4 linked regions of the Struthio camelus genome follow. The protein of the gene in region 2 interacts with the protein of the main gene of each other region in a pairwise test. Links are inferred from orthologs where the notes say so. Each region holds a gene or a part of one and is shown on either strand. Other genes may lie near its edges. The genes, in order: RBPMS, VENTX, TBX15 and DAB1.

Region 1 (7,264 bases), on a different chromosome or scaffold from region 2:
ACCTGCAGAAGCAAGCGGGGCTCCCCGCAGAACTCGCAGGCAGGCTTTCTTGGTCGAGCACATCCATCTTTCCCAGCCTGGGCCAGGTTTCCCAGGGAAAGCCCTTGCCCTGGTGCTCATTAGTGAGTCTGTGTAGGGCAGAGCAGCACCCCCATCTTGTGCCTGCTCAAAGCCTTGTCCCTCACACCGCCCTCTTCAGGGCTCCTTTTTCTCTCCCGAGTGGCCTTGTGCTGCTTAAGCGTTTGCACATATGTGAGAGACAAGGTGCAGCCAGACCTGCAGCTCCCTACGCTGTCAGCACTATATGCTTATGATACGCTGTGGGCCTTACAGCCAGCGATGGTACAGGTATGATAGAGGAAGCCATGGTACTTGACTCCTCTCCTATGAAGAAAGGCTGAGAGAGCTGGGCCTGTTCAGGCTGGAGAAGAGCAGACTGAGTGGCGATCTCATCAACATGTACAAGTATCTGAAGGGGGGGTGTCAAGAGGATGAGGCCAGTCTCTTCTCCGTGGTGCTCAGCGACAGGACAAGAGGCAACGGGCAGAAACTGAACCACAGGAAGTTCCACCTAAACCTGAGAAAAAACTTCTTGACTGTGAGGGTGACAGAGCACTGGAAGAGGTTGCCCAGAGAGGTAGTGGAGTCTCCTTCGCTGGAGATATTCAAAACCCACCTGGATGTGATCCTGGGAAATATGCTCTAGGTGACCCTGCTTGAGCAGGGGGGTTGGAGTAGATGATCTCCAGAGGTCCCTTCCAACCTCAACCATTCTGTGATTCTGAGATTCTGTGACTCCACCGGGCAGGGGGGGCACAGAGCCTGCCAAAGTGGCACGTCTTATTCAACAGCCGGAAACTGGTTATCAATACACAAGATTTCCTCCCTCTCATTTGGCTCTTCCTACAACTAAGTCAGCTTTTTCCAAACAATTATTCTCCATGGGATTGCAGAACTACTGACAACACTGCGCAGCATAGTCCGATACCTGCCTGTTTTTTCTTCACTTACCTGTAGGCTGTAAGAGACAGCAAGTGCTAGAAAAGTGGTGACACCCTCTCTCCTCTGACCGCTGAAAACTGCCTTCTGTTCAGCTTGCTTTTCAGCCCATTCACTCGGCGCTGTGGCAAGATTGGAGCACAGCTGCAGCTTCTATGGCCGTCTGCTGCACTTCTGGGGAGCTTCAGATGTGCACAAGTTTTCAGGCAGATGAATGTCACGCTGACCCATAGAGATGTTTTTCATAACTTTCCCTTCTACCTTTGTAAAATATGTTCTGCAGTTTTATCCCAATGCAGAACAAAACTGAGTGTTGGAAGGAACAGAATTTCTCGCAGGAGAGAAAGCAAGAGCCACTGTTTGTACTGGAACCCCAAACTTCAGCTGAGATGCAGGAAACTGTTTGCTACGGCATTCCCTGCTTGCAACTTTAATGCGGACGGATTTGGAACCGAGGATTTCAGGTAGAGCACGGCTTGACATAAAAGCGAGGGAACGTGCACTACAACTAATAAGATTTTCTCCTTAAACTTACAGGGATATCAAAAAGCTGGATTTGGGCCTTGAATTTCCAAACTGCGGCCCATTGCTGCTTGGAAACTGTGTGGCTATTCTCCAAAGCAGTCTAAATACGGGCTGCAAATATTGTCACAAATATGACAGTTTCCATCTAATTGAGGTAGACCCCGCCAAGTTTTCTTGTTCAGATGACCAGAAAGATCTTGCAGTTGAAAACAATGGAAGAGAAAGTAATGAAATCAGGGTGAACCGCGCGGACTTCCATATATGCCACTGAACTCAAATAATGCCTCTTACGTGCTTAGCAGCGTGGTTTCAAACAGGCAATTGAAAAAAAAAGACATGTTGGAGCTGGAAAAACAAAAAAGTTGCACCAGTGCAGAGCCCCGGGTGGTGGCTGCTGCGAGAAAGCACAACGTTCCTGCGGGTCCACGCTCGGAAGCGGTCATTTGAAGCCACCTATGAAAAAAATAAGCCTCGTACGCTAGCCTGAGTTGACCTGTTGGGCAGTCGTGGAAAAGCCTCTTTTCTGCTCACTTTTCATGCTCGCTTTCAGAGCTACAGGGGCCTGCTATGTCTTCACCTCGCAGGGGAAAGCAGGGAAGCAGCCTGGGTAGCCACCAAAGGGCCCCTTGGCCCAGCTAAGGGGCTATCAGTCGAGCGCCGCTGTCAGCAAAAGCGTTCCTCCGACAGCAAGCACGCTGCAAGTACGCTCGGCAAAACCTGTGGCGTGGCACGGGAAAGATTAAACAAATCTCTCCTTTCCTCCTCGAGCCACCTTAAATTTCATACCCTGTAGGACAACAGCGCCCTCAATAGCTGCTACAGGGGTTTTCTCCTCTCAGAGGTAAAGAAAGGCCAGGTTTCTTTCTTAACTCCCAGGCTTTCATTCGTATTTGTTCTGCTTCTTTGTTTCCTTGATTGCTTTTCAAGAAAGCTTTGAACAGTTAATACAATTCTGACAGAAACAGAAATGCTCTCTTATTACAGAGGCACCCAGAGGGCTGGTAAATATTACACTAGGCTTGTGCCTCAAAAGTGACTTTTTTGCTGAAAAAGCCCACCAGCCCATCCCAAACTTTCCATGGATAATGGGCCATTTCCAGGCCTATAAGGGCCCTATCCTAGGAAACCAAACATACAACTCCAGGAAGAATATGCTGCTAAATTTGTTCGGTTCTCTCCCCTGGGAGTGGTTTAAACCCAGCTGTTCCTCATGTCCTAAAAATGAGGCAAATTTTCAAAATCTCTTCCTCTGAGGTAAATTCCCAGCAACAGCCCTATTGCCGTGCAGCCGCTGAGCAGCTCTACACCATGTTTGGGGAGAAAGCAGCAAAGCACGGACGGTACACGACAGGTTCCCGCGGGATCCTGCACCCCCGGCTCTCTCCAGGGCTGATACTGATTTTGGGCTGCTCACTCACCTTCTGATAATGAACAGCACATACAGGTAAATCCAGCAGCACACTGAATTTATCCCAACGGCCCCGGCCACGATTTCTAACTGTGGTGGCTCAGGTTTTCTGACTGTAGGCACCGTCCTACCAGGAAGAGAGAGAGGTGGGAGACCAAGACACCAGTCCTCAAACGAATCCCGATTGCCTCTCTTCCCAGCATGGTGAGGTTGCACCTGTGCCACAACTCTGCAGAAGCCTGCAGACCAGGGGCACCGTCGCTCTGCTAAAAACCCCCCATCCCATCTTTTTCCCGGTGGTGAGTGAGGTCCCTTCTTTTTCCCCTGCTCACCAAGGTAACATGTTTTTTTTAGAAGTGCTCGGGCCTCTGCCTGCTCTTTCTGACCCTGAGGCTGCTCAGGTGGCTCGCAGGGCCACCTGCTATCCCAGCCGGACATCTCCCCGCTCCCGGAAATTCGGACCGCACGGCTAGTTTCAATCTAGCTCCCACCAGGACAAGTTCTGCTCTGTAGGGGAACATTTTTTGAGAGGTTGGAAGCTTGCCAGGTGACGTTGGGGGCATTTCGGGTAAGCGCTGCCACATGGGAGGGACACTTAGCCCCCCGGAAGAGAGGGGCTCGCGTCCCCTCGCCTGCCCAGCGCCGCGGGAGCAGCCTCCGCCCGCGCCCGAGTGGCCCCAGTGTGGGTAGGACGAGCGGCCCAGGGCGACGCGCAGACGGACAGCTGTATTCGATTTGGCCGCTCTCTCCAGAAAGGCAGGCTGAGCCTTGAGGACCGCGCGTGGCCCTCCTATCTGCTGATGGGGCCGTTTATCCCCCGGGGGCAATCCCGACCTCCGTTAAAACTTGTTTAGCTCTCCGTAGTCTAATCCCCTCGGCCAGCCTGCCTCCTCGGGCCTGGAGGGCTGCTCGGGAGGAGGCGACCGGCTCGGCCCCGCTCACGCCACGTGCTGCGCGAGCCCCTCTCGCTGCCGCCGCCTGACGCAGGCAGTTTGCCAGGTTCGCTGTTCCCCCCGCGGAAAGGTGCTACGGACGGAGGCGTTAAGCGTCAGCTCGCCTGGCGCGCACGGAGACGCTTTTAGGGACTTTTCCCCGAATGCCGGGGCAGGTTTTTGGAAATGAGCAGGGCCACCCCCCAGCCCCTTTCAGCATCTGATGCCAGACGACTGACGAGGGACGGGGAGCACAAGCCGGACGCGGCGACAAAACGCGACGAGCGTCGCCCCCAGCGCCTGGGCGGCCCCACGCGCGCGGCGCCCCCGCCCCCCACGCCGCCTTGGCCCCGCCCCCCGCCCTAGACGCCCCGCCCCCCACCGGCCCGGCCCCTCCCACCACCGCCGCCGCCCGCCCGCCCGCCGCCGCCGCCGCCGCCGCCGGCGGGAGCAGCCTGGCCGCGCACGCAGCATGAGCAACCTCCCCGCCGAGCGGGACGGCGGCCCCGCCGAGCCCGGCCTGCCCGAGGAGGAGGTAGCGGGGTCCTGGGGGGCGGCGTGGGGTGGGGACGGGGACTCCTCGCCCCTCTGCCGGGCCGCCGTGGCGGGGGGGAGAGGTGCGGCTGGAGCCGCGGCTCTCCGCGGAGGCGGCGGCGGCGGACGCGCGGGCTGTGACACGGGGGCATCCGCGTTGGCCCGGCCAGAAAGTTTGAAGGGGGCGGTGGGGGTGACCGAAACAGGGCAAACCTCTCGCATCGGCGAGCGTGAAGCCGGGGTTTGGGGTTTTGGGGGGGGGGGGTTATTTTTTTGTTTTTTTCCCCCCGCAAGCGTCCGGGAAGGGGTTATTTGGCCGCGTCGTCCCAACAAAGTTGAATTTGCCGGCTGAAGGCGGGCGGAGCGGCGGGCAGGCTCCGGCGGCGCAGGGCAAAGTGGTGCTGCTCGACCCCTTTGGAGCTGGGGCAGGAGGGCCTGTTTCCTCGGCCCCCAAAGCAGCTTGGGGGCCGCTGAAGGACGCGGAGAGGTTAGGGGGAGGGAGGCGTGTGGGGAAAAAATGCACCCCGGCCTTTTGTTGCAAGGCGTCGGACACCGTCAGGACCGTCCCTGCCCCAACCTGGTGGTGCTGAGCGTGGTTGCAGCTGAAGGAAACTGCTTTGGGACCGCGCCGGGCCTGTGTGGGCCAAGGGCAAAGGTGCTGAGAAAGGAGGAGCCGCGTCCCTAGGGCTTTGTCTTGCCCGGGGAGGGGTGATGGCAGCAGGTGCCACCAGGGCACGAAGAGAAGAAGGGGATCGGCCCCAGGAGCGTATCATAGCGGGCTTGGAGAGGGAGGACGGACAGGTGGTACCGTGCGGTGCTGGGTTCCTGCTCTGTGCTGCGAGCGTGGCTTTAGGAAGGGGCCGGTTGCTGGTGCTCGCAAGCTGGGCTCCTTTCCCACCATGGCAGGTCCTTCCCGCACCTGCCTCCTCCTGTGCCAAGCCGGCAGGTACTTCGCTGGCACAAGCTTATACCGGCGCCGGCTGGAAGCGCTGGCGCTTGGGAGTATTTGCGTAAGGACGCTCGGAGCGGGTTGCCTAGCCACTGGGTTGTGCATACCTCTCCCCTTCCTGGGAGGTCATGCCGGAGGGCTTTTCTTTAAACTTTGTGCCCTCCCTCTCCCCCCGATGCTGTGTTTTACCCCAAAAGAGGAAGAAGCAGACCCTGTCTTGAGGCTGTAGATCCTGTGCCGGGAAGGCGGGAGGTCGGGGCATGTGGGCTCCCACAGCAGGGAAACCCGCAGGCTTTCCGGAGGTTAAAGCAACGGTGCTGCGACGTGTGATGGGCCCCCGGTTTCCGTGCGGGTCTGGCCCAGAGCCTAAGCCGACGCTCGGATAAGTCCGGCCAGTTCTCCTTTGTCTTCCCGGGGCTCGCGGGAGTTGCTCCAGCCTCTCCTGGCAACGGGCAGGATGCGTGGGGCATCCCCTTCCCTGTCGCTCCAGCCCCGTTCAGCGCTGACTGGCGTGGGTGAGCCGCGGGTTGGAAGGTCCCGGCAGAGGAGCCTGGCAGGGGTAGAGCCGTTGGAAAAGAGGTCGCGTAGCTACGGCCGGGCGAGAACGGCATGTAAAAGAATAGACGGAGGCCTTATTTGGTAGCGGAGCAGCTCCAGGGAGTCCAGCCCTTGTCTCCATGGCCGTGCCAGCTCCCCCAGCGCGGCTCCCAGCACAGCGCGGCTGGGCTGGTGGAAACGCTGCTGGCGTTGCTGACTGTATCGTCCCAGGAGGTTGTGGGGGGCTCGGGCACGGGCAGGGGGCAGCCAGGGTGGGGAGAGAAAGGGTGGCACGAGCAGGGCTAGGCACCCCTGGGGACGCTTCCTAGCGGGAACATCTCCAGCAAGTCGGTAAGCTTTCCCTGCGCAGCCACCTCGCCCCGTGGTGGAGCTACGAAGACTTCCCTTTATCTTGTCAGGAACTGCCTGTGGTTCGGCGTCGCTTCCCATGTACTTGTGCTTCCCTCCCTCCTTTAAGAAATGCCCGGTCTCGAGGATTTGGGAGGAAAGCTCCAAGCAATGACACAATTGTGCATGACCTCAGGCCCCAGCCCCGGCCCGCAATCCAGCCTCTCTGTTGCAATCTCCCATCTGCTCCCTTGGCTTCTTGCTTTCTTTTGCTCACTTCCTCGTTCCAGCTTCGCCTCCGGAGCAGCTCCCCCACATTGTCCTCAGCCCTCGCTTGACTTTGTTTTCCCAAACACTGCTCCTCTCCTTGCTTTCCCTGCCTACCCCAGCAGTGGTTTTGTTGGTGATCTTGAGAAGCGGCTCCAGGTTGTGGAGCTGGAGGTCTGAGCGGAGGGAAGGAAAGCCCAGACCTCCCTGTCTGGAAGAGGTCTGTGCTCGCTCTCCTGCGTGGCCTGGTGCAGAGCATGGAGCCCTGTGCCTTCTCCATCCTTGGCGCCGTGTGGACCCAGGTGTGCCACACGCAGGCCTGGGACATACGCGGTGCCACTTGCAAAGCAAGTATCTCGGGCCTCATTGACTGAAGTCTTGTTTATGTCAGTGAGTTTTGTGGGCTTGTGACATGCTTACACAGAGCCCGGTAATCTAAACCAAACCGAGGGAACACTCCATTAATGGAGAGAGTATTTACGTAAGGGCTAATCCGCGCGGGGCTGGAATGCACCCCGCTGCAGGGGAGCAGGGGCAGCGCCGGCCAGGGCTCCTCGCCTCTCCTCCTCCTGCCCCAGCTCCGTGTTTAGGGCGCTTTTCCCTTCGCTGGGAGGAGGGGGTGAAGTTCCACTTTCCGTATTTTAGGGCTTTATCTCAGCCCTAAGCCAGCGCGGTGGCCTGGAACGGATTCATCTGCCTCCTCCTCCTCCGGGCCCGGCTCTGCTGCCACGGCGCTCCCCTCCCCTCAGCCCCCCCATGCTGCGT
Region 2 (7,826 bases):
ATATGGTCTTTTTATTTCTCCTGGAAAACACCTCTTATTCTGTCAAGGAGGAGAGATTATAATAATTGATAATAGAGAGCTTGATTAAAGGCCACTAGTAATGCTTTTAAGTCCTAAAGAGTGATTCCTCAGAAATTACAATGATTGGATAAACGTACCAGGGCAAAACCCACATAAATCATATGGCACGTACCAGCAGCCCTTGCTTCCCTGGGCATCCCATCATAGAAGTACTACAGTTCTGCAGATGAACACGCAACTTCCTGCATGTCCTAAGAAACCCTTTTTGCTCTTTTCATTGCATCACCACCCAGCTGCTCCCAGAAGCACATGCTCACTTTGCTGTAGTCTCACAGGACTCTCTATGAGAAGGGACAACTTGCTTTTACAAAAGGAGAGTGCCTACCTTCTGTCTTGTGTACCCCTACTGCAGCAAGGCCAAGTGGGCGGCAGCTTTCTCCAGCTCAGCTGCGGTGGGGACCTCAAAGTACTTGGTAGCCCAGAGGTACTCTTTCTCTTCAGTTCCTCCAAAGTTTCAGTGGGAAGGGGATATCTCTGAGCACAGTACTGCCCCTCTGCTGGGCTGTGACCTGGCCCATTGGGGCAGGGCTGGCCTTTGCTCTGCAAGATGTGGAGCAGTAATTAGTTTTCAAAGGCTGGGGCTGTTATCCTGAAATATATCTGTTATCAACTGCTTAATAGGGATCCAAACAGGAATAGCCAGTTCTGCAGAACCTCCTAAGCCTGAACCCAGCCTTGTGTGTATACGTTTTGATAGAGCTGCCTTGTATAAGCACTGTTGTCTTGATCCCATCCTACCTGTCCCAGCCAGACATCTATAAAGCCGATCTTTCTTCTTAGCCTCTTTGAAAGCAGCTCCTGCTCACAAGAAACTTAGGGGATCTATATCAAGTAATAAATCTCAACTCAGTTTAATTCTCCAAGATGCTAAAATGTTCCCTTCTACATCACCTCCCCAGAACGGCATGGCCTGGACTGGCATTTGGCATTTTGATCCTCAGTCCCCTTTGATCATCAGGAAGTTGGTGGTCCTTATTTTTGTGGAGAAGGTTCTGGCTCCCCAGAGAGAGCAAGTGTCTATTGAACAAACATCTACATGAAGTATTGTCTTCATCTTCAGCAAATGGATCTTAAGACTTCTGCTGTGGCAGTTATGTCTGTATGTCTGAGCTCTTTATCTCTACTTCCTTGTAGCAGCAGAGCTGGGAGGACCTCTCCGTTCTCTTTATGTCTTTGGCAAAATTCCCAAAGACTTCCGCATGAGCAGGTTCTCATCCTATTAGAAATATCAATTGATTTTAAAGATGGTATTTTCTGAATCACGGTTTAGCAGTAGATTTTCAAACAAACACCTCATGAATAATGCATAGAAACAGAAAGAAGGCAGCTTAAGAAATGTAGATAAAATTAAACTAGCAGCTATTAAATACTGTAACAGTCATTACATCTAGAAGTAATTTGCCATCTAAACAGAATATTTAAGCTCACGTTTTGTGTAGAAGGGAACATTTGGTTTAACCTTGTCAGAATGGGATTGGTTTGTGTCTCTGAGAGCTCAGCCTTTGACACCATCTTTTGGCTGTGACGTTTGTCTCAATAAAAGGCAATTAATAAACCATCAGTGTATGAAGATGTCATTTGCAGCTCAGATGGTGAAAATGTATTAAAATCTGTAAAGAAATTATGTGACAGATGTATCAGTGGATGCTAAAACCTGAGACTTTCTATTTTTCAGAACACCATCGTATGTCATGTATTGTGTCCTACCCAACAGCTTGCCAGTGCCTTTGTTCTTTGACATAAAATAAAGATAGTTAAAAGGAAGTCTTGCAGACAGACTACATGTACAGGTATACATTCTGTGTGTATAAGTAGGTGTGTGCATAGATTATGTATATAATATTTTATATTACATAAAATTATATAATATTATATAGAGACTAGGAATGGAAATAATCCTCTTCCTGAGCACAAGAGACCAATTTATCTCCTATTTGGCCCCGTCTATGATGCAGAATGCTGTTGAATTAATTAAGGAAATTCAAACTGAGAAAGAATCCTGCAGAAAAATAGCACTTCCTTTTTTTTAATGGTCATGAGAATTTAGTCCTTGAGAAAGACATTTTGCTTTTTTTTGCTCTCGCTTTTCCCAAGGAGGCTTGGCTGGATTCTCTGGGCAAGCAAAACGGCACTAGTATTCCCAGTGCTCACTGGAGATGCTGTTGCCAGGCCACATGCTAAGTATAGCTGACTCAAGGGACTTGTCATTCAGCTCTATTAACTCAGTTAACAGAGTAGATTCTTCTGTGCCTCCTCTCCGTATACCTCCTACCTGTTTGGTCAGGTCTATGCAATATGTTGGCACCAGAACTGGCTGATAAGTAAATGCTTAGAAAATCTGATGTTTTAGAATATTTCCTCAGGCTTGGGGGTGGGGGGAGGGGAGGGTAAAAGTCTTCACATTTACTTATTGAAAAAGGTAGTTAAGAACCTGTGCTTGAAGTATTCCGGGGATGGGGTGGCGGAATGTATAAAACACAGGAAATTTAAAATTAATCTTGTGCAGCTTGGACAAGTGAAGTTTCTCAATTTTCTATTGTTAATCAGAAAATGCTTGGGATGGATAAACAGATGAGTTTTTAAGTCATTAGATATGGATCAGAGTCTTTCACACAGCTGAGAAAACTAATGTAGCATCCTGCAGAGCCTTGTCCATGCAAGAGGCATTTGTGGACTTGTTTAGGCATGCAACAGACGTACAGGAGGCATTAATGCTTGAACCTCTGCTTAGACGTTTTAACACCAGTACCCTTAGTTCCCTCCAGGAAGCATATTTAGCAGGCTCAAGGGTATGGCTGTGGTTGTTTGTTTGTGATGATTTTTATGAGAAATTTATGTTCAATTCAAGTGTTTGGCCTGTATCTAGATCCCTATGTGGCCAGAAACAAAGGACTCCAGGAGGACTGTGGTCATGCCTGGTTGTGGTAGTACCCACAGATTCTGGATTGGTTATTAGCCACCTTTAAATAAAGGCAACAGCTAGATTCATATTCTTGTTTGTCTTATCAGACAGACAAACACTCAAACAATGGCATCACTGGTAGAGCAGAGGACTCAGACTATGCCGCAGGAATGAACAAGCAGGGAGAGACTGAGCTTAGAAGGGGCTCATAAGTCAAACTTGAGCTTCATTCAAGGAAAAATTTGCTAGTGAGTGGAAAACCTTAGGAATTCATGATGGCTGGATATAGCAACCACATTGTGAGTAAATAGGCGGCTGAAATGTAGGTTTTAGGAAAGATGAAAATAGATTGAGTAAAACTTTTTACTTATGGATATAAAGAAAGAGAGGTATCTAAGATTAAAATGGAATAAATAAATTTAGTTTAGACATAAACTAAAAAAATAAGTAGGAGGGGTTCACTCCTCAAGCCCTCTATCTCTGACAGGCCAAGAACTAGAGCCATGGTTACATTGACTGTGATCACAAATGAAGTGAACGCTGAGAAATCCAGCAGGAGTGGCAGAATGACAGAACAAGTCACAGGTTAAATGAGCAATGAAGCACTGGGTTTGTGTGCAGATGGCAGAGGAAGAATATAAAGAGGAAAACCAGAGCAAGGACAGGCAGATTAGACATGCAGTTGTGATTTCCGGAGGCAGACTAATGCCAGGCAGGAGTATGATAGGAATTATCAGAGATATAATTGTGCCGGTAGAAAGTCCCACTCTGTCCTAGCACAGGAGGGGAGGGAGGGGAAATAGGAGAGGATTCATGGTTACTGTACAGTGGAAACTGTACAGTGGAAGCACAACTGTCAGTAAAATAGCAGGGCCACTAGAAACCTTTTGTCAATGTACTGCAAAGGCATTACTGCAACAGCCAAGTGTTCCTAGTGCCCACAGAACCCAGAGATGGATGGGAACGCTCCTGAAAGGCGTTCTTAAGGAAGTAACAGGAAAGCCAGGGGGAGTAAGATAGCAGGGAAACCTGTGTAACCTGCACAGTTGGAAAGATCTGGGAGGGAAGATATGACATAAATCCTACAGCCTCAGCAGAAAGTTAAGGGCATAATTGTCTTTTTCTGATTCTTTAGTTCAGAAAAAAACACTTTATGTAAGCAGCCGAGAATAAGCCGATTGGTACCAACCAACAGGCTCGACCTTTACCTTTTTTTGTTTCACAGCCTTCTCCTCCAAACCCTTCTCCCCGTGTGTGGTGTTTATAACCTGGTGCAGCAGACCCAGGAGAATGCGTTCAGTGAGTCTGCCCACCCGCCTGCCTCAGGCTGTCTCGATAGCACGGTACTCAGCCCAGGGAGGAGCAGGTTTGGGAAGATCCCTTTAGAAAGTGGAACTTCTGCTTGAAGGGAGAATTGAAAAGTGTCATCTCTCGGGGAACGGGGACTGGGAGCCCCCGGCGATCCCGGTCCTGCCAGCACCTGCGGGATGCTGGTCCCTGTGCGCCCCCGGGATGCATTCCCCCGCGCCCTTTGAGGCCGCTCAGCGCTATAAATGCCATTTGCATGGGGATAGGATGTAACAAGTGCTGTAAATCACTGACGGCAGAGTGAACTCCTCCAGGGGCAGACACCGCGGAGCCGAGCCTCTTCGAGCTGTGGCAATGTGTGAACAGTATCTTTTGTTGAGGGGGAGGACTGATGGCAATTAGATGATACTTATCTGGCCCTTTGATGTGTATTTACACAAACAACGTTTTCCTCCGGGACTTGCGGTATAAAGGAGGGGCCGTGCTCCCCAGCACCCTCCTTCCCGGCAGCTCCGAGACAAGAGCAGGATGACCAAGGCCCCTTTCTCTGTGGAGTGGCTATCCCAAAGCAGCCAGGCCCCCAGGAACCCCGCCGAGGGTGCTCCGCGTCGAGCCGCTTCCGCGGCCGCGGGGCCCCGGCCCGACTCCGGCTCCAGCCCCGGCCCGAGCGAGTGGAGCGGGAAAGAGGGCGCCGGCCCGAGGGCCGGGAGAGGCGGCAGGAGCCGGGAGCGCCCGGCCGGCCCCCCCGCTGCAGGTAACCGCGGCCTCCGCCGCCGTCGGGGCTGCGTGGTGCAGTCCTGCTGGGGACAGGAGGGAAGGGCCTTGTGCCCCCAGGGACCGGAGCCTGCTCACCCGTACCTGTGCCAGGGCCTGTCCGCAAATTTCCCCCGGGGAAGGGGCGCCTGGTCCTGTTTCCTCTCGCCCTGCAAGGGGCAGCGAGCCTCCCCGGAGCCCGGGGAGAGGGAAAAGAGGCGAGCGGGCTGGCACTTCCAGGGACCCCAGGCCTGGCTGATCCCCCTTCTCTCTCGCCCTGTCGCCAGGAGTAGGTGAGCGGGCGTGGGGAGCGGGGCAGCCCCCGGCAGCGGCGGAGCCCGAGAGCGGCAGCTCCGAGGAGCCCGGCGGCCGCGGCGCCCGGCGGCTGCGCACGGCCTTCAGCGCGGAGCAGATCAGCACCCTGGAGAGCTCCTTCCAGCGGCACCAGTACCTGGGGGCCGCCGAGCGGCGCAAGCTGGCCGGCAAGATGCAGCTCTCGGAGGTGCAGGTGAGCGGCGTGGGGTGGGGTGGGGTGCGGATGAGGCTGGGATGGGGATGGGGATGGGGATGGGGATGGGGATGGGCGCCGCCGGGGGAGAAGTTGTGACTTCACCCCTCCTCATCTCACTCGACCCTCCAGATCAAGACCTGGTTCCAGAACCGCCGGATGAAGCTGAAGCGGCAGCTGCAGGAGCTGAGGCCGGAGCCTTTCTGCAGCCCCCCTCTCCCTTACGGACCTCAGAGCGGGCTTGTGCCCTTGCCCCTCGCCTACGCAGCCCGGCCGCCGCCGCTGCCCCGGCAGGAGGCCGCCCCCGGCGGCTTCGCCTTAGCGGCGCTGCCGGCGCATGCCTTGGACCTCAGCAGCGCCTGCCGGGCGCAGCCTCCGGGCTTTTGGGCAGCGCCCTGCTTTGTAGGGTACCGGGATCCCAGAGCTTTCCTGCTGGGCGTCTGACCCGCTGGCATGGACTCTACCTGAGGAGGATTTGCACTAATGCCAGCGATGCGGGCTGCCCCGGTCTGTAACTGGCTGGTGGAGCTGTGGTGAGGCACAGAGCAAGGTATTCTACAGAGACTGCATGGTCTGGGTCGTGGACTTCAGGCCCCTGCGTTTATAGGCAACGGTGTAAAATACAGACGTGGTGGGGCCAGTATTAATACAAATGGAATCTCTTAATAAACCTAAACACTTTCCAGCTTTGACCTGACTTCCTTCCACAAGGATTGCAGAGCTACTTATCCTGCCCTGAAAGAGACCACCTCCCTATGAAAGGAAGCACGGACTCCTTAATCCTTAGATCTGCTCTGGCTCTGGTGGGAAATCTGAGTAGCCTTTCATTTGCTGAACCCTGAAATTTACTGAGGAGGAGTGTAAAAAAACTATGAATTTCCCCCCGTTCCCTAAAACAGGAGACTCCTTACCCCTTCAGGTACTTCCCAGGTGGCACTTTCTATGGTGGGATCATGTCTTTAAGCATGCATATATGGATGCATCTTGACCTAGTTACAAATATTAAATGCTGGGCTTCTTACAGCAGCAGAATGAATCCTTTCTCTTGGACCCCTTTAAATACCATATCATATACAATTTCAAGATGTAAAAAGCTATCTCTTTAGTTAAAAGTATTATGTAAGCACCTCCTCGCAGTTTCATGGGGTGGCCTCAGTAGATTAATAAGCACCTCTCACCTAAATAGGCCTTGGGAAGGATCTGGACTTGCATTATCATTTGAAGAGTCCCAATAACATATTATCTCGGCATCTCACACACACCTAACAGGGTATGAGAGTGATTATCAAAATAAATGCAATTGTCCAAAGCTCTTTGTTTAAATAGCTGTCAATCTGTTTCATGAGCATTGTGCTATGCATTTTTTATTTGAATAACGCTCTAGAAAATTCATGGTCAAAAATGTTCTGATTTCAGGGTAGAGAAAGAGCTGTGAGAATTGATCCTTGACTGATGTAAGTTGTCATAAATCTTTTCAAGTCAACTGTCAACCGACATGAAAAGACCCATAAAAATTTCCATCAGTTTAGAATCAGTCTCCGGGGTTATTAAAAAACTTCCGGTGCACTTGCAATCTGGGCTCATATAATGAATTGTTTGAAGGTTCTCTGTCGGTCATCCTTGAATGCACCTATTTTCTTTTTTATGCAGGGGCCAGCCTCTTGCTTGACTACACTTGCCTGGTTCACAGCAACACTATGTGCTCTGATTTTCTGAGTAGCTGTCGCATTTGGAAGTCTCCTTGATTATTTTGTAATCTATGTTGTATTTTTTCAATCCTTTGAGATGTTGCTATTTGCTTGCACTTGCGCAATTAATACAACTCTAATCTTTGTTTTGAAGGATTTTAAGAAATGTAACAAGAGTTCAGCTGCTATTTATCTTGTTTAGATCTTTCCAAAAGTGTGATGCAGTTTGGGATTAAGAAAAGTTGTTTGTCACGAAATAAAATTTCCCACTGAATGGAGTCTTATTTCTCAAATTCAAATTTAACTAAAACGACTATATTGATCCAAAGGAGGGGGGATCTGAAATTCTGTCTCTGTCTCTCTTTCGAATGTAATTAAGGATTCAGTTGTTTCCAGAAGAGCTCTGCAATGGCAGATATGTTTTTCTAACACAAGCATATTTTAAGGATAGGTCAATAACAGTCAACAGTCAAGGTCAATAAATGCACAATTTACCCGCAAATAGTCTGGAGTGTTAAACTCGACTTGGCTGCCCCTTTTCAAGGGGACACTGGTAGAGGTCACCCCATGTAATTTTGTATGGGCA
Region 3 (7,716 bases), on a different chromosome or scaffold from region 2:
GCGCCTCTCGCTGTACCTGCGCTTCTCTCCCGAGCAGCTCTTGCGCTGCAGGCTGCAGAAAGTCCGCGGCCCGCGGGAGCCAAGCAAAGCGAGGCTGTCGAGTGAAAAGGCACGAAAGAAGGAAGAAACCTAGACACCCTCTTGCTGCTCCCGGCTGTTCTGAATTTTGACGTGGAAAATGCAAAGCGCATAGCTTTTAAGCCTGCTCTTGTCGCTCTAAGGGAGTATCTAAGAAGGAAGAGGGCTCTCTAGCTGGGGCTCTCATCTTTGCTTGTGAAGGGAACCTGCTTTGTTTGAATTATTCATCGAAATTGCCTATTTCCAAACAGCTCCACGGGGAGGCTCTGAAATGCAGTCAGGTCTGATTAGTGTCTGCGAAGAAGCGACGCCTGGAGCTGGAGGAAGTTCAGGGACAATTTTAGTTCCCAAGTCTTGTCCCCTCCTGGAGCACTGTGGCCCGGGATGGGGGAGGGGGGTAGGGCCCGGGGACACGGGGCATATTTTTGCTTCAGGACAAGGGAATCTGTCCGGTCTCATTCCGCCGCCCTGAAAACAGGAGAGCAAAAAATAATAGGCGCGCGTTGGGTCTGTACTGCCCAAACAAGCGAGGGTGAAGTCCTGGTAAAATGGAGGGAAAGCAGTGGCTGTTTTTTATAGTCCAAGTGTATAATCGGATTTTTTTTCTCTCCTGATAGAAAGCAGATAAATTTATGAAGGGAGAGCTAAGAGAATAATTACAGGGTGAAGGTAGTTAAATTTTATTTCGAGTCCCAAAGGCAAAACCTGACATTTTATTGCAAACATCTGGAAGGCTTAAGAGACTGGCATGGTGTTTGTTTAAACACTAATAGAGATTTTTATTCTGTAAAACACAAACAAAGCCCATTTAAAAACACTTGAGACTGTAAATATTTTGCGGTGATTCAATTCTCAAAGCCTGAGAAAACCGGGGAAACGCGAGGGGAGAGGGAAGGAATCGGCGGCATAATAGCGGTATAATTATGAATTAGTTAATAATACGCAACAATACCGTTTGTGTAGACCATAAAAATAAATTGCAGGCGTATTTTTTTTTTCGCTGTCACAATAAATGACCCCGCGCAGCCCGGGAACATCACCTCGCTCGAGTTTCCAAGCGGCGGCTGCGTCCGCGTTAAACTCGCTTCTTTACGATAGCTCCGGTCTCGAGATCCTCTGATCCGTTTTAAAAGACAGTCCACGTTGTCTTAAAGTCCAATAAATCATTCACTGACGTTATCAGACAGCCTTCAGCCCACACCCGCTGACTAGTTTTAACATTGTTTTCAATTACTAACTTAAAAAAAAAAACGGGCTAGATCTGGCTAAAGGACTTTCGATAACGTTTTCCTTGTTGTGCAGTAGTGTTTGAAACCGGCTCCGCTCAGCCTCGGCGAGCAGAACATCTGGACAGCACTCCCACCCCGCAGCCGGCTCCCCTTTTTTCTCTCTTTTCCAAATATTTCCATATATAAACAAATATTTTCAGGCTCGCTCGGCGACAACTGGAAAGCAGCACTGAATGACTTCTTTATAAACCCCAGGGCCTGGCCCTGCGACCCTTGCTCCTGCCACTTTATTCCAGGGAGCAGTTTCCTGGATTTAATGGGGGCTACCCCTGCGAGCCAGGGTCTGGAATAAAGACCAGGCAAAGGGCTACATTCTTCTCTAGCGGCCAAGGGTCAGAGTCGGATCTGAGCGTCGTGTCTAAATTCAGATTAACTCCAGGCCGACTCCAGATTTACGCGGCTTGCAGCCGGGAGTGGGAACGTGGTCCTTAACGGGGCTCTTGTGATTCAGCAGAGAAGAGCCTCGCCGGACCAGGTGCCCTCGGGTTGGCGCCGCGGGGACGCGTTTTGCCCAGCGGGCTTGGCCCCCGAGGTGCAAAGAACGGACCGAAAGCTCATTTCCCGGTTTGAGGAGCGCGGGTTTCCCTGGACGAGCCCCCTTAACTCAGGGGCAGAGATGTTTGTCCCGCAAACAGCCTCCCTGCTCTGTCCCCCGGCACATCTCCTGCCTCGGGTGCGCGGGGCCGCACGGCTCGGGGAGGGCCAGGGCGTTGCGCAGGTTGCCTTTTCCTCCGCTTTTGCTGAAAAGCAGCGCTGCCGTTGTGTTTGTCCCTTGCACTCGCCGCAAAAAGGGGGGTAGGGTGACCCCGATCTGTACAAAATCTCTCGGGCACTGGCATAGCGGCAGGGAAGGAGAGGCGCGGCCGTCGGCGGCCGTGTGTCGCCTGTGTCCCCGGCCACCGCCGGCGGCACCGTGGGGAGCTGCTCGCCGGTCCTTGCCAAAGGCTCCGATCCTGGGAGTCTGCCAGTTGGGGGCCGGTCGGACATGGGACCGCGGCTGTGTTTCTGCTCGCTACTCCGAAGCGGTCCCTCTGCCAGAGCTGGGCGCGGGGTGGTCCGACAAAGTTTAAAGACCACGAACAGCCGCAGGTAAAGAGGACGAAAAGGGACCGCGACTGCTTTAAACCGTCGGCCCTTAAAACCATGTTTTTACCGGCAAAATGTATTTCTGAACTCTTACATCAGCCCCCAAATTTCGTTTTAAATCGCCCAGCCTTTCCAACACCATTTCCTCTCGCTAAAACGCTATAAATAATCCTGTGTTTTCTTGGGCTCTCTTTCTAAAATCTCCCTCCAGCTCCTTTAAAAACCTCCCTCGGTGTCTGTTTCCCAGACGAGCGTTTCCGAGGCTTTCGGAAATGAGGAAACGGATTTTTATTTGGGGGGCATTTTTGCGCCGTGGGGAGCACAGCCGAGGGACCCACTCGAAACGCACGTGCCCTCTGCGGGTCCCCCCATCCGCAGACAGTCCCGGTGCCGGTTTTAAAACCCAAGCTTCCTCCTCAAAGCGTCTTCCTCTTTGGCTCTCCTCTTCCCTCCGCTCTTCCCCCTGCACGGCTCTCCCTGGAGCCAGGGAAAAAGCTTCCTTCGCAGCGGGGCGAGACGAGAGCGGGGCAGTGCAAGGGGGGCTGCACCTCCCCGTGTCGGAGCGCCCGTGTGCCCGGCGCTGAGCCCTCTGCAAGGGACCTGTCAAAGGCGATGTCCAAGAGAGGGGAGGGGAAAGGATAGGCGGGGGGGGAGGGGAGGGGAGAGAAGGGGGAACGAAGGGGACGCGCAAAATCCGCTCCTCAAGTTAGATAACAGCCCTTAACTTTCCCGGGTTTTCGTGAAGAAATCACTCCTTTCATCCGACATCCCTTTCCTTGCTGCTATGGCCGTTTGGACGGCGGCAGTCCGCTGTCGCGCCTGCAAGACCCGGCACTTTAGGCCTGAAGGGACCTGGTGTGCCAAGCAAACGTGGGCATCGCGGGGTGACTCTGGCAGCTGGAGGACCTGCCCCCCATCTGCTCCCTTGGCTTGCGCTCGGCCCCGTGGAAACGGCTCGCCCCCGAGCTCCTTGCTCTCCCCCGGCGCTGCTCAAAGCAACGCCGAGCCTCCGGGGAGCCTGTGAGAACCGACAACCAAAAGCAACCTATTCCCAAACTTGACGTTTCTTCTCGCCCGTTTTTTCATCTTAGCTTGAGCTGTATTCACTCCATCCTTTATCATTTAGTTATTTATTATTTATTTTGACGCTACATTCGATCCTGGGAATCGAATTAACTCCCGGCGACTTGTTATATTTTCCCTAGACAGTGTTTCGCTTGACTTCACATATTTTTTTCCGTGCTCCGAATAGATAGTGAAAGCACATGGTGCTTCACCTTTGCAAATGCAGCCCTTATTTCCTTTCTCTACGAGCCCCCTGCGCCACGCACGACCTAAGAGTGTGTGAGCAGCTACCATCCCACCTCAGCCTGGAAGGCAGAGTGAAGAGACGAGCAGAAATGAAATGCTAGTTGCCATCTAGACCACTGGCCGGGATTTGTACCTAGCGGATTGTTCTCTCTATATAGCTATAGCGGCAAAAAGGAATGGGAAAAAAGAACAAAAACAAAAACCAAAACAAAGACCCCAAATCCTTTCCAGAGACAAGGCACTCGCGGTGCCGGAGGATGTCTGAATCTCTCTGCCCCCGCTGCAGCGCGCCCCGCTCTCGGCACCGGCTTCGTGCCGGCGCCGCCTGCCCAGATACGCCGCTTCAGACACGAGTCGTTTTGAAAGGAAACTTCAAAACACCCCGAGATGGTACTTCTACAGGGCCAAACACCGACTTCACCGACAAACACAAGTAATATATGACATGAATGACGTTTTCAAAACACCCCCTCATCCTGCACTCCCCGGATTTAAAGCCCCTTTTCGAATACTCTGAGGGGAGTGTGGGGGGGGGGAATTTAGTTATCAGGAGTCCCTAGGAAATCTGGGTGCGGAGGAGAGAAGTGTCGGAGTTGTTACCTCTCTGCATTTAGAGCTATGTGTTTCCTAATGGCTCCCCGCTCTTCAAACAGTTAATTCTCCCGGCCGGTGTCCCAGGACTCAGATGGCCAAAATTCTTAGCCCCGAAGCCCGAGTCTCCCTCCCCTCCCCATTGGGTTGCAGCTTTTGGGTCTCTCTCGATCTCTCCCTCCTATTGGCCGGGGACATTTTTTTTTTCATTATTTTTTTTTCTTGACAGGCGCACGCAGCCTGCCTAACTCTTGGAGGAAAAAAAAATCCCAGAAGTTTGGATCAATCAGAGAGAGACAGAAGGAAAGGGGAGAAGGAAAAAAAAAAAAAAGATGAAATCCAGCCTGCAGCCCCTCTGAGCAAGTGCTGGGGACCTGGGCTGTGCACACCCTCCCGGCTCTGCCTACGGAGTATCTGCAACCTCATGTAGTTCCTTCAGGAGACTGAGGGCTGGTTCTTCTGGGGGTGCAGCTGGGGAGGGGTGGGGGGAGAAAGAGGCGAGAGGCTCTGCCTCTGGTCCCCGAGCTCTGCGCTCCCAGCCACTGGTTGCTCATCTGCCCAAGGGTCTGGGCTGGGGGATAAGATGAGTGAGAGGCGAAGATCGGCGGTGGCCCTCAGCTCCCGAGCGCACGCTTTCTCAGTAGAAGCCTTGATTGGGACAAATAAAAAGAGGAAACTGCGAGACTGGGAGGACAAGGGGCTGGATTTGTCCATGGAAAGCCTCAGCCCCAATGGCCAGCTAGGGGACAATGAAGACCCGACTCAGTGCCTGGACCTCAACCCCGGTTAGTGCAACTCCTTTCTCTACGCCGACCCCCACTCCCTTTTCTCTGCCTTTAGCTCTCCACTGGCCCGGCCGGGGGCTGCCCGCCGCAGCCCCTCTGCCCGCCTGCGCGGGCGCGCCGCGCTCCTCCGCGCTCCTCCGTGCTGCCCAGCCGCGCGTCCAGGAAAACATCTGGCATTTGGGTGGGGGAAAATCTGCGGACATTTTTTTTTTTTTGATTTTTTTTTTCGGTTTACAGGGACTTTTCTCCCACCCACTCCGAACTTTTTGCCCCCTAACTTCATGACCTCCCGGGAGGGAACGGCGTGCTCCCCCCCTTCCTCCTTCTCCCTTTCTCCTCCCTCCCTCTGTGTCTGCCGTTCGCGCTCGTACTTCCTGGGTGTCTCGGGACGCGCGTTTCGCCTTGCTCTGCCCTGCCCCGGCGCGTCCCGACCATTGCAGGGGTGCGTCGGGGGCAAACGAGGGGGGGGCACAACACTCACCGCTGCGGGAGAGATCTCTCCTCTTTTGTACGGCTTTCCAAACGCTCCCCTCTCCGAACCCTCCCCCCCTCAAGTCTGCCCCGTGGAAATCGTGCTGTCCCAACCGGAGATTTTGGTGGAGGCAGAGCCGGGCGCGCCGGACCGACGCCGTCCCGATGCGCAGCCTCCGCGCAAAGCGGCGGCGGGGCGAGGCGAGCGGCTGCGGCTCCGCGGTCCGGCCGGGCTCCGCGGCACCCGCGCACCCCGCCGGCCTGCGGGCCCGGCCCGGGGAGCGCCGGCACCAGCGCCAGGGCCTGGTTCCGCTAGCGCGGGCCGGGCCGGGCCGGGCCGGGCAGCCCCTGGACCGGATCCGCGGGGCTCTGCGCTGGGGCCCCTTCGCTCAGCGCCCGCTGGAGCCCGGCCGGCAGGGACGTCTTCACTGCCCGCGGGGCCAGCGGGCTGGCACCGGGCTTGCCCCGTCACTTTTCCTGGCGAGGAAAAGGGTCTCAGCCCGGGAGAAGAGGCAGCGGGCGACAGGAGGGTCCAAAGAGTCCCGCCCGCGGTACCGAGCCTGGCGCCCCCCGGGACCGGGGGAATTAGGAGTAGCGCCAGAGCCGCGGCGCCTAGGTCGCCGCGCCGTGTTTGGGGGCAGAGAGCACGAGTCCGGCCTCGGCTTTTTTCATTTAAAAGGGAACCAGTGGCTTGGAGTAATTTTTTGTCCCCCGAGGCAAATTATTTGTCCCTAAAACGAGGGTCCGGCAGTAGCGGCCTCGATGCCGCGGCGGCTCTGGGGGGTGAAGTGAGAGGGGCGCGGAGGGAGGGAAGCGCGCTGCCTCCCGCCCCGCGCAGCGCCCGCGGGGCTCGCCGTCTCCCCTCCCCGCTCCCCAGTGCCTTGAAAAGGGACCGAGCGAGCTGCCCTGCGCTCACAAGTGTAATAATCGGATAAAGGGAATTTCGGGGAAATTTCCCTTCATTGTTCTCTTAAATATTGGGTATGGGAAAAGGTCGAGCGATTTATCTTCGGGGACGCGCAAGAGAAAGGGCACCAACTTACTCCACTTGCTCCATTCCACCCGCTGAACTTGGAGAATAAAACATTTTTTTTTGTGGGTGTGTGTGAGATTCCCCCAGATATCAATAAGGACCAGCTGTCCAAAACCCATCACTAAAAACAGAGAAAGTATTAGAGGTCGAGCTGTAAAAAAATCTGTTGTAAAAAATGTGTTAAGTGTTTTTGAAGGGAGCTAAAGACGGGAACTCCGGAGATCACGTCGCCCCGCTCCGCTCTCAAGGAACCGCATTTCAATTTGTTTGTAACAGCAGCAGCTCTTCCCGCTGCGGATCCTAAGGAGACGTAGGTAAAATCTTCTTCCTGGAGCTCTCTCTTAGTAGGGCGACGGGCATAAAGGAGAGAGAAAAGACCCTACCAGAATAACAGCCACCAAAAATTTGCTCACGATCTCAGAGTGCTCCCCGTACAAAATAACAAATACGAGATCGAAACGACAAAAATCCGCTTTCCAATATTAGAGCAGATGTGCGCATTGCTCATTCTTTTTAGAATCGTTCTACATTAATTTCTAGCTACTACAGGATACATTTTTCGTTGCTCTAGAAGTTTAACTCGCACTTTTCCCCATGAATTCGAAATAAAGATTTGGAAAACTCCCTCATGCGCCAGACTAGAAAGCGGGAGAGAACGGCTGGTAATGCCGGAAACCTTAGAAAGTAAATGTAATGTTTTTCATAAAGCAAAGGAAATCAAGAACAGTTTGAGGAATCATTTTTAGGATGTTGATAGACTTTAAATAAAGTCCGCAAGTGTAATTTGCACAGTCACTTCATTAAACCTAAATCCGCCGCAGTATACCTTTGCTGCTGGGTGAAAATTGATTAGCAGCTATATAATAGCCACCAAATTCCATCTTTACAAGACCCAATTAAGAACAAACTTTACACCTAAAGTATTTAAAACTCGCCAAATCTCTGGTGATACACCAAAAATAAAAAAGAGAGGTTTTACAATGTCCTCAGCGTTCAAAACTCAAAATAGCCGCTCCCGCACAGCGTAGGAAATAACGCGGGGCCGTTCCTTTTGCTGGCGATACTATTGGTA
Region 4 (7,857 bases), on a different chromosome or scaffold from region 2:
ACCTTACCAAGAATGGCTTCAGTGACAGTACTCCAACACAGGTTATCTAAGGCTCATATCTCTTTCACTCTGTGAGCTTTATGGGTTTGGCCTCCTGACACACTGGTTATCTTTCTTTCCCAGCACTTCTCAAATCCTAAAGGGAGGGCAGTCACCTTTATGTTCAAAATTGTGGCCTGGGTGCTTGGATTCAGGCAGTCAGATGGGAAAGCTCATTGGTTTTATTCTTAAATGGAGATTTTGTTGGCTGCTAATTTGTTGAGCGAACATTTAGGCAAAAATAGTTGGGACAGCAGCTTCAGTCAATATGCAGAGCCCTCGTTCCACTCTTGCCCCTCGTAGGTCTCTCTGCTTTCCTTTCTCTGCGTGCTTCCCTGTCATTTTGATCCCTGCATCCCTACATAGTCCTGACCAGTTGTGATGGATGGCTTTTCTTTTGTTCTCTCTAGAAACAGGGAACCTTGAGCCCTAAATCTCCCTGAGAACTCAGTTGTAATCTTTCCTTAAAAATTTCTAAAAGTTCTTGCTCCCGACTGCGCATTTTAGATTGATAGTGTTGTGTGACGCATACCCAGACTCTTATTTTATTTTAGCTGGCTCCATGCGTACTACTACTTTGTGAGATTTGCCATACATAGCGAAAGATTGACTGACCCCAGTTCCCTGCCACAGTATTAGTGTCTGGTCAAGTGACTATAAAAACGAATACTACTGTTTTGTGCTTAACTGTGAATGCGAATGTGTGTGTTTAGAGAGTGTCACCTTTGAAAATCAGACTCACAGTATGCACTTTATCCTGAAAAGTTAACAAAAATTCAGGTTAGCAATAGCATATAAAGTGTGTGTGTGTGTGTGTGTGTGTGTGCGCGCAAGCCTTTTCCTGAGATAACTAAGAAATACACCTAAAACCCCGTACCATTTAGGTGAAGGACAAGGTAAGAGCAAAGCAGACGCATCAGCTGTCTCCAGGGCAGTTATTCTGTGGAAGGAGGCAGACCAGCACAGCAGGCAGCAAACGTTTTTTTCCAGAGCCTGGAAGTGAGTGGTGTGTAGGCAGGCATGAAGAAGAAACCCTGCATTGCTTTTATTGTCAGTCTGCTTGTCAAACTGCCTTGTTAGGTAGGGATAGTAAGATGGAAAATAGACCAATATTTGACTTCTTTTTGTGTGTATATGTGAAAGCAATAATTCTTAGGAGGGGCTTATTATTAAAATGTACTTGCTAGTGCCAAATATTAAATGCAGAGAATTAAGACATAGATGCATAACCATGCACATAGCAAGACAAAGAGGAAACAGATGGTTTGTTAGCTAGTTAGACCTCTTCTTAACTCAGAGCTGTTAGTCCTGAGAGATTTGTTCTTTCTGTTTTCAACTTTGCTTGGGCCCTTCCACAAGACAGCCTTGTTTATTCGTAATGTTGCCTGTGCTCGACACCTTGTTCCACTTAGTCTGTGCTTTCAGTGCAGGACACTGGACAGGCAGCAGCAGGCTTGCAGAATGCGAAAGAAGGGTGAAGTAACAGGTAAAGGAGAAGAGAGAGAGAATGGGATGCTGAGCGTGTATTTTCTGTCCATCCTCACGTTGCTAAGGGACCCGAGAAGAGAAGGACGGAAAGCTGTACCAGCACTCGAACGGACACAGCTTGTTCCCCGCTGCAGCTTGTGAACGTCACCTCCCTTGTGTGCGCCAGGCTGGTGTTCCTCTCGAGCAGGGTGATGAGGGCAGCGGAGCCCACTCTGTGGGAAGGATGGCTGACAAGGATGGGAAACAGTGATGCGGTGGCATCGCTGACGTTGTGTGTGTGGTCTCTCAGCTGATTCAGCGGTATTGCCAGAGTCTCACTGTGCTCCAAGGAGGGGCTGAGGAATGTTTTATCATTAAATTGCATATGACTGAGATTGGCTGAATTAACGTATCCCAGTGGATGAGAGCTATATGATAGGAATTTGATTACTCCTGTTGTATGATTTGAGTTGCTCATAATTGCAAAGGTTCTTTCCAGCGTCTGTGAAACAACTGAGGTTGAACATTAGTGGTTGCAGTTGCCGGCAGTGTTGGCATAGCAGGCTTTATTATTTCAAATATTTCACACTTATGGCAGCTGTTGCACCTTCTGTGCTTTTGGTTTGATGCAGTGAATACATCCTTTTTAGCAATTCTTTTCTTAAGATGAACAGCAAAGCAAAAAAGCAGCCTTTCACATCACAGTGCATAGAGTATTTCTGCACATTTTGAAAAAGATTTATGTTTTTCCCGTTTCTGACATTTGAAACAGTAAGTCTTGGTTTTGGTTTTTGCTGAATCAGTGGCTCAGGCAGTCACTACATGGCAGCAGGCTGAAATGAAAGCAATGAGAGGTAAAAAACCATCATGTTTGCTGAGATTGTTCTAAATTCTGTTAGTGTTTAATACCCACTTGCCCGCCCAAGTATTTCAATACTGTTTATCACTGTGATATCTGAGTGCTTCGTTAATAAGTGTATCCTTGTCTATCATTCTGAGATATTGTATCGCTGTTCTCCTAGTGGGAGATTTTAGTCACAGAGAGATCACAGAGCTGATTTTCCAGCAGTGTCAAGGCAGGAACACTGATAACTTAACACCTCTGAAACAAAGTCCAAGTTGTACATCCAGAGCCACAGGAGATTGTTGTGTCTTAGCCAGGAATGAACCCTGCATCCTGCAAGCCCTCCTTGAGCTCTCAAAACGTGTGGTTGGCCCCTTTCCTTCCGTCCTGCTGAAGTGTTAGAGAGCGTTCTCTCTGTGCAACATTCAGTATCCCCTTCCCTGACATCAGTCTGGCAGAGTTTCTGTTCCAGTTCTGCTGGTGAGCTGTCAGTAAAAATGTGACCCAAGTGAAAATACATCTAGGGCAAACACAGGAAATCTCTTTTAGCAATTTTCCCTGTATTTTAGGGAGAATTACTGTCAATTTGTCTCTTTCAGGCGAGACTGCATGAAAAGCAGGTTTATTTGCATTTAGCATTTCACTGTCATTAAGAAGTTTTTTTTGCATAATGCATTTGACCACTGGTAGCCAGCAGATTTTGCCATCATTTAGAAGGAGGTGAACACCATTAAAAAAACCTCCCAGGTCAAAATGGACAATAAATATAGGTAAGAATTTGCATAGAGGAATCCGGCTGCTCGGCGCACACGCGCTCAGCTGGCGCCTTTGTCACAGGTACGGGTTCTGTATGTGGTTCCCCAGTGCACTGTGGAATTTGAATTGTTCCCTTCACACAGCATGGACAAGCTCTCACACTCCTTCTGCTTCAGGCTCTTTTGCAAAGGCAAATGGCACTGCTGGAAACTAATCAACGTAATTTTGTACTCTTCACAGAGGTCTATTAGCAATCATTGACGCAATCCTGGGCTGTAAATGGGGACAGCCTATTCCTAAATTCAAACACAGAAATGTTTTGTATTTTCTATAAAATATTATTGACCTGGCCTGTTTCTGGCCTGCCCGTTTCTGGGCTTTTTGTGCTTATGTTTTCCCTTTTCCCCCAGATGCTGTAACAGGCTGTCAGACGGAGATGCTGCTGAGGATTTTGAAAAAGCTCAAATGATAAAGAATAGGGAAAAACTAACATCACTACTATTGTAGCAGCCTTGCACAACCTTTTCCTATACACATGTACAGAAATAAAGTACAAATAGTAGTTTTATTAAACAAGACACAGACACTTATTTTTTATCCTTTCTGCCAAAGGAGAAGAAATATCTTCATTTTCTCCACACAGACACAGCTTTCTTCATGTAAAATCCCATTGGAGACAAAGCACTGCATGTTTATCATGACTATGCTAAGCACAACAGTCCTTAGGGTAGACTTCCTCTAGTTGCATTTCTATAGCAATGTTATTAGCCCAACTTTTGCAGCCGAATAACTAGTTTGGGTTAGTTAAAGACAAGCAAGCAACTTGTTCCTGGTGTGAGAATGCAACCTAAGTTGAGTTGCCAAGCGCCGTGAAGGAAATCCGTAGAGTAGGGACGGATGGTGTTACGTTCTCAGGTGACTACAGTAACCGCTGAATCGTATTTCCTTTTTCTGTTGAGCATATACATTGAGAACGGTTACCTTAATTGATAAATGCAGCTTTGGGTAAAAGTTTCACTGGGTCTCAAAGGGAAACCATTTGAATTCCCCCCGACCTTGCCCTGGCTTCTCTGAGTGCCTGGGGATGAAGGCTGTGGCTGCTTTTACACATGCAGCCAACTTGTTTCACTGGGCCCATTTGGAGGGATTTAAGTCTCAAAATGAGTGTGAAAGCTGAAGTTTGCATGTCATCCAAGGGCTTGCACATTTGTCAGAATAGAAATGATAAGGATCATTAATTTGTACATATGTGAATTAGGAACTGGAGAGGGTTTCCTGATAACCAGCAGTAACGTGATGTACTCCGTCCCAGTCATGCCAAGGCTGAGACGTGTTGATTGCCTCCAGGGTTAACCTCGCAGCTTTCGTGCAGCGTAAAAGCAGCTTGTTCTGCCCACCATGTGGCCCTGGAGTACAGGCAGGAAAGGTCACACGAGCAATCAAGATCAGCATATCCCTACTCAGGTGGGGACCCCCTGTGGCTGCAGGATTAGCAGCAGAGTCTGAGCTGACTTTGAATATGTATTTACTTCTAAATGTCCCGACTCTGTTCCAGGCATTTTTTGACTCATTAATCTGTGTCCATATTTGCCATGAACTTGGACACACAGTGCAACGACATTCACTGTTTCTTGCTGTTTGTCTGCTTGCTGTCCTGGCTGAATTTTTGAAAAATAAAAACAGGAGGAATTAAAAGGTTAGATTATTTTCTTCGTATGTCTCTGTGCAGGAGTGAGCGGTAACTGGCAGGCTGCTTTGAGACCTTTGCTGATGATGCCACTTGAACAAGGATTCTACAAGAAAACGAATAGTAAGAATCTGCAATTATCAGATAATATTTTTTAAAATACAACAGAAATTTTCTAAAATAGGTGGATTTTTAGAGGCATGATTTTGGGTGTGTTCAGCAGGAGCTGTACATCTGAACCCCTCGCATCACGTCTAGAATCTGGGTACGTGAGTTTTGAACTGAAACTTAAAGGCAGACAAAAATTTAGTTTCCCCTTTTCTCTCTGCCATTCCCACAACATTTGGGAAAGCTGTAGAAGCACATTTGCTTCAGCTAAATCCCTCTGCACTCCCCTCATCCTCTCGGTACCTGCACTGCCAGAAAACAGTGCTGGAGCAAGGGGCAGCAGTGCACGCATGTAGTGCTGTCTGCCAGGCAGATATTTGCCAGGGAGAAGTCACTGACCTCCTTGTTTCCTCAGCCCTGGAGATCTTTGCTCTATCGTTGCTGATCCTCCCAAGGTGGGGGTGGGGGTGCTGATGTCTACCCTTGGAGGAGGGTAGCACTTAATCTTATCATCCGTCTCGGCTGACATCCCCACTGATGTTGTAGAGTACCTCTGGGGGCAACCCCCCAGACGACAGCAGTGCAAGAGGTGACCGTTCCCGAGGATCCTCTAAACGAATCCTCAGCGTTTTCATTAAAAAGAGACGCTCCTGCTGGACAATTATGGATTGCGACTCTCCCATTTTTCCACAGGCAGAGAGCTTATGTAAAAACTGACTGACATTTAAAAATGCCAGCAATCTTATTAATTCTTCAGTTCAAGATGTGTTTCTTGGGGCTTTGCATGTGGAATGCCACTCGGAGGACAGAAGGGTGATGCAGCCACACTGGCAGAATCAAGCTCTTTACACAAATACTGCACTCTTTTAAGTGTTACTTCTTTAAATTGTGTGTTTACCATGTAACTTCTGACTAACTGGGAAATGCACTTGTGAAGGTTAAGGCACCTAGTGCCCCTGAGAGTTACAGCTGTGTGAATACAAGCTCTTTGTGCTCTGTCCCATGACTGACCTCTTTCTGACTTGAGAAGAGTCCCTTCTGCAGGAATTAAAGGCTGTTCTGTCTTCCTGCTCGCTCAGAGATGTGCTGCTTGCCTTTCTCCTAGGCAGAGTGCACCATTGCGGATTACTATCCACCAGCAATTCAAACGGCATTGCTAAGGGTATTGCACTTATTCCAGGATCACAAGCTAAATTCAAAGCAAAGGACAGAATGTGTCATGGCTTTTCTCCTCTGTCCCCTGAAGGATTGAGAGGCCACCCACATTAGCATGGCTGCTTCCTCTTCTCGCTTCCCAGTTTGTGGTAACTGGCACTGCAGAAAAGGTGTACCACTTGTCTGAGGAGACTGGGGTTCAGCTAAGGATCTGCCAGAACAAAATACAACCTATTTCCCCACTGTATTGTTTGCTATGTGCTGAGTTACAGTTAATCTCTCTGCAGCGGGGCCAAAGGGGCATGCTTTCCAGTGGACAAATTCTTCTGTGAAATGCCTTTGCACAGCTTCCACTGCCTTTATGGAGAGCTACCGGGCAGAATTTGGTCCCAGGCTGGTCAGATCATGCAGTTCAAAGGACAAAGCGCATTCCCCTTCTGATGGCTGGTTTAATAGATGACTGACATACTGCTGCCAGCTTATGGTTACTCCTTTATCGCAAGGAGGAGAGCTTGGGGCAAGGGCGACAGCTCAGACACCGCTGGTTTCCCATGCCAGTTAAAGTGACTAGGATTATGTGTGTTTGCTGTATGCCAGATATATGTATATTTTTACATCAAATTTGTTACTCTATATTGAAAGCCATTCCCACTGGCTGGTAAGTATATTGTTTTGTTGGATGTAAATCTATCCATGTGTTAAACATACAAAATTAGAGCCAAGCTTGCTTCACGTCTCAATCTCCAGTGACCATCCAGTAAATAGCAGCTCTTGAACTGCTGGCTGAATCTGTTGGCAGAAAAGTACAGGTGTAGATCAGTCTTAAAGGAATGACTCCTTGCAGCAAGGTTAGGAGAGAAAAGAGTGGAGGAGAGGCAGGGGAAGGTTTCTTTGGTTGTTTTTTATACAATGGCTGCTACTGCATTAGCAATTGCATTTAGTGTTTATCAGGTGAAGAAATCAGATGGCTTCCAATTCCTGCCATTGGTAAGGAGCTGCTTTTTGCTGAAAATGGGAAGGATACATGAAATCATCTCAGAGCAAGAGGTTGTGCATGCATTAAGGTGACGAATCAGGTTAATAATGGGCTGAGCCGTGTGTAAGCCATAGGTGTTGGCCACAAATTGTGAAGACACTGTCAGTGGGTCAGAGCAAGGTCTTAAATCTTTTTTTTGAGAGCTTTTATTCTTTGACCTGGTTCACTGCAGGGGAATGAGTTTCAATTTGGAATAAATTTTGACCCAAATAATTGAAAGTTAATCTCACTTTATTTTGCATAATGCTTTATAATAATACAAATGTAACATGTTTAGTCTGGGACCTAGAGGCCAGCAATCTATGGAAGCTGACACTTTGCATAAAAGCAACCTAGAAAAGGTCCTGAGTTTATCTATTCAAACTGATAGCAGCACTTCAGAAGATTGACCCTTCAACCTTTTTAATAATGACTTCCCCTCCTTTATTTAGTTTTTTGGGTTCCCTTGCAGATATTCATTTGTGACACTTAGCAATTACGTTATGTGCAGTATTGTACATGTGAACTGAATAGTTCACTAGGTCAAGCAAATGCAGAAGAGATCGAACCAAACTGATAGAGTGAAAAAAACTGAACTATAATAAAATAAGTGTATGCAGGTCAAGTGCTGCCTGAATGAAGCAATGTATTGGTAGAAGTTAGTAGACACAATATACCTTCCTTCTTGGGATGTTATCAAGGAAATATGCAGTCAGTGAAGCAGAAAACTGCAAAATTGTTTAATAAAATTAATCCTCAACTGTGAACAGCAAAAATGTCAGGCTT

What was found.
Region 1: the proteins of VENTX (region 2) and RBPMS interact in binary tests that used the Homo sapiens proteins (3 or more experiments, as listed by UniProt). The two-hybrid records come from large-scale screens. The link is inferred for Struthio camelus from reciprocal best matches to the Homo sapiens genes VENTX and RBPMS.
Region 3: the proteins of VENTX (region 2) and TBX15 interact in binary tests that used the Homo sapiens proteins (3 or more experiments, as listed by UniProt). The two-hybrid records come from large-scale screens. The link is inferred for Struthio camelus from reciprocal best matches to the Homo sapiens genes VENTX and TBX15.
Region 4: the proteins of VENTX (region 2) and DAB1 interact in binary tests that used the Homo sapiens proteins (3 or more experiments, as listed by UniProt). The two-hybrid records come from large-scale screens. The link is inferred for Struthio camelus from reciprocal best matches to the Homo sapiens genes VENTX and DAB1.

The regions. Positions count from the first base shown.
Region 1 is NC_090945.1:5,907,814-5,915,077, reverse strand, and holds the start of RBPMS (RNA-binding protein with multiple splicing), read left to right. Parts: upstream 1-4,253; 5' UTR 4,254-4,336; coding exon 4,337-4,399; intron 4,400-7,264.
Region 2 is NC_090948.1:18,025,025-18,032,850, forward strand, and holds VENTX (homeobox protein VENTX), read left to right. Parts: upstream 1-4,819; coding exon 4,820-5,045; intron 5,046-5,331; coding exon 5,332-5,552; intron 5,553-5,684; coding exon 5,685-5,996; 3' UTR 5,997-7,518; downstream 7,519-7,826. UniProt on the Homo sapiens protein: May be involved in ventralization.
Region 3 is NC_090942.1:91,668,449-91,676,164, forward strand, and holds the start of TBX15 (T-box transcription factor TBX15), read left to right. Parts: upstream 1-4,712; 5' UTR 4,713-4,938; coding exon 4,939-5,140; intron 5,141-7,716. UniProt on the Homo sapiens protein: Probable transcriptional regulator involved in the development of the skeleton of the limb, vertebral column and head. Acts by controlling the number of mesenchymal precursor cells and chondrocytes.
Region 4 is NC_090949.1:33,984,664-33,992,520, reverse strand, and holds the start of DAB1 (disabled homolog 1), read left to right. Parts: upstream 1-4,849; 5' UTR 4,850-4,916; intron 4,917-7,857. UniProt on the Homo sapiens protein: Signaling adapter of the reelin-mediated signaling pathway, which regulates the migration and differentiation of postmitotic neurons during brain development.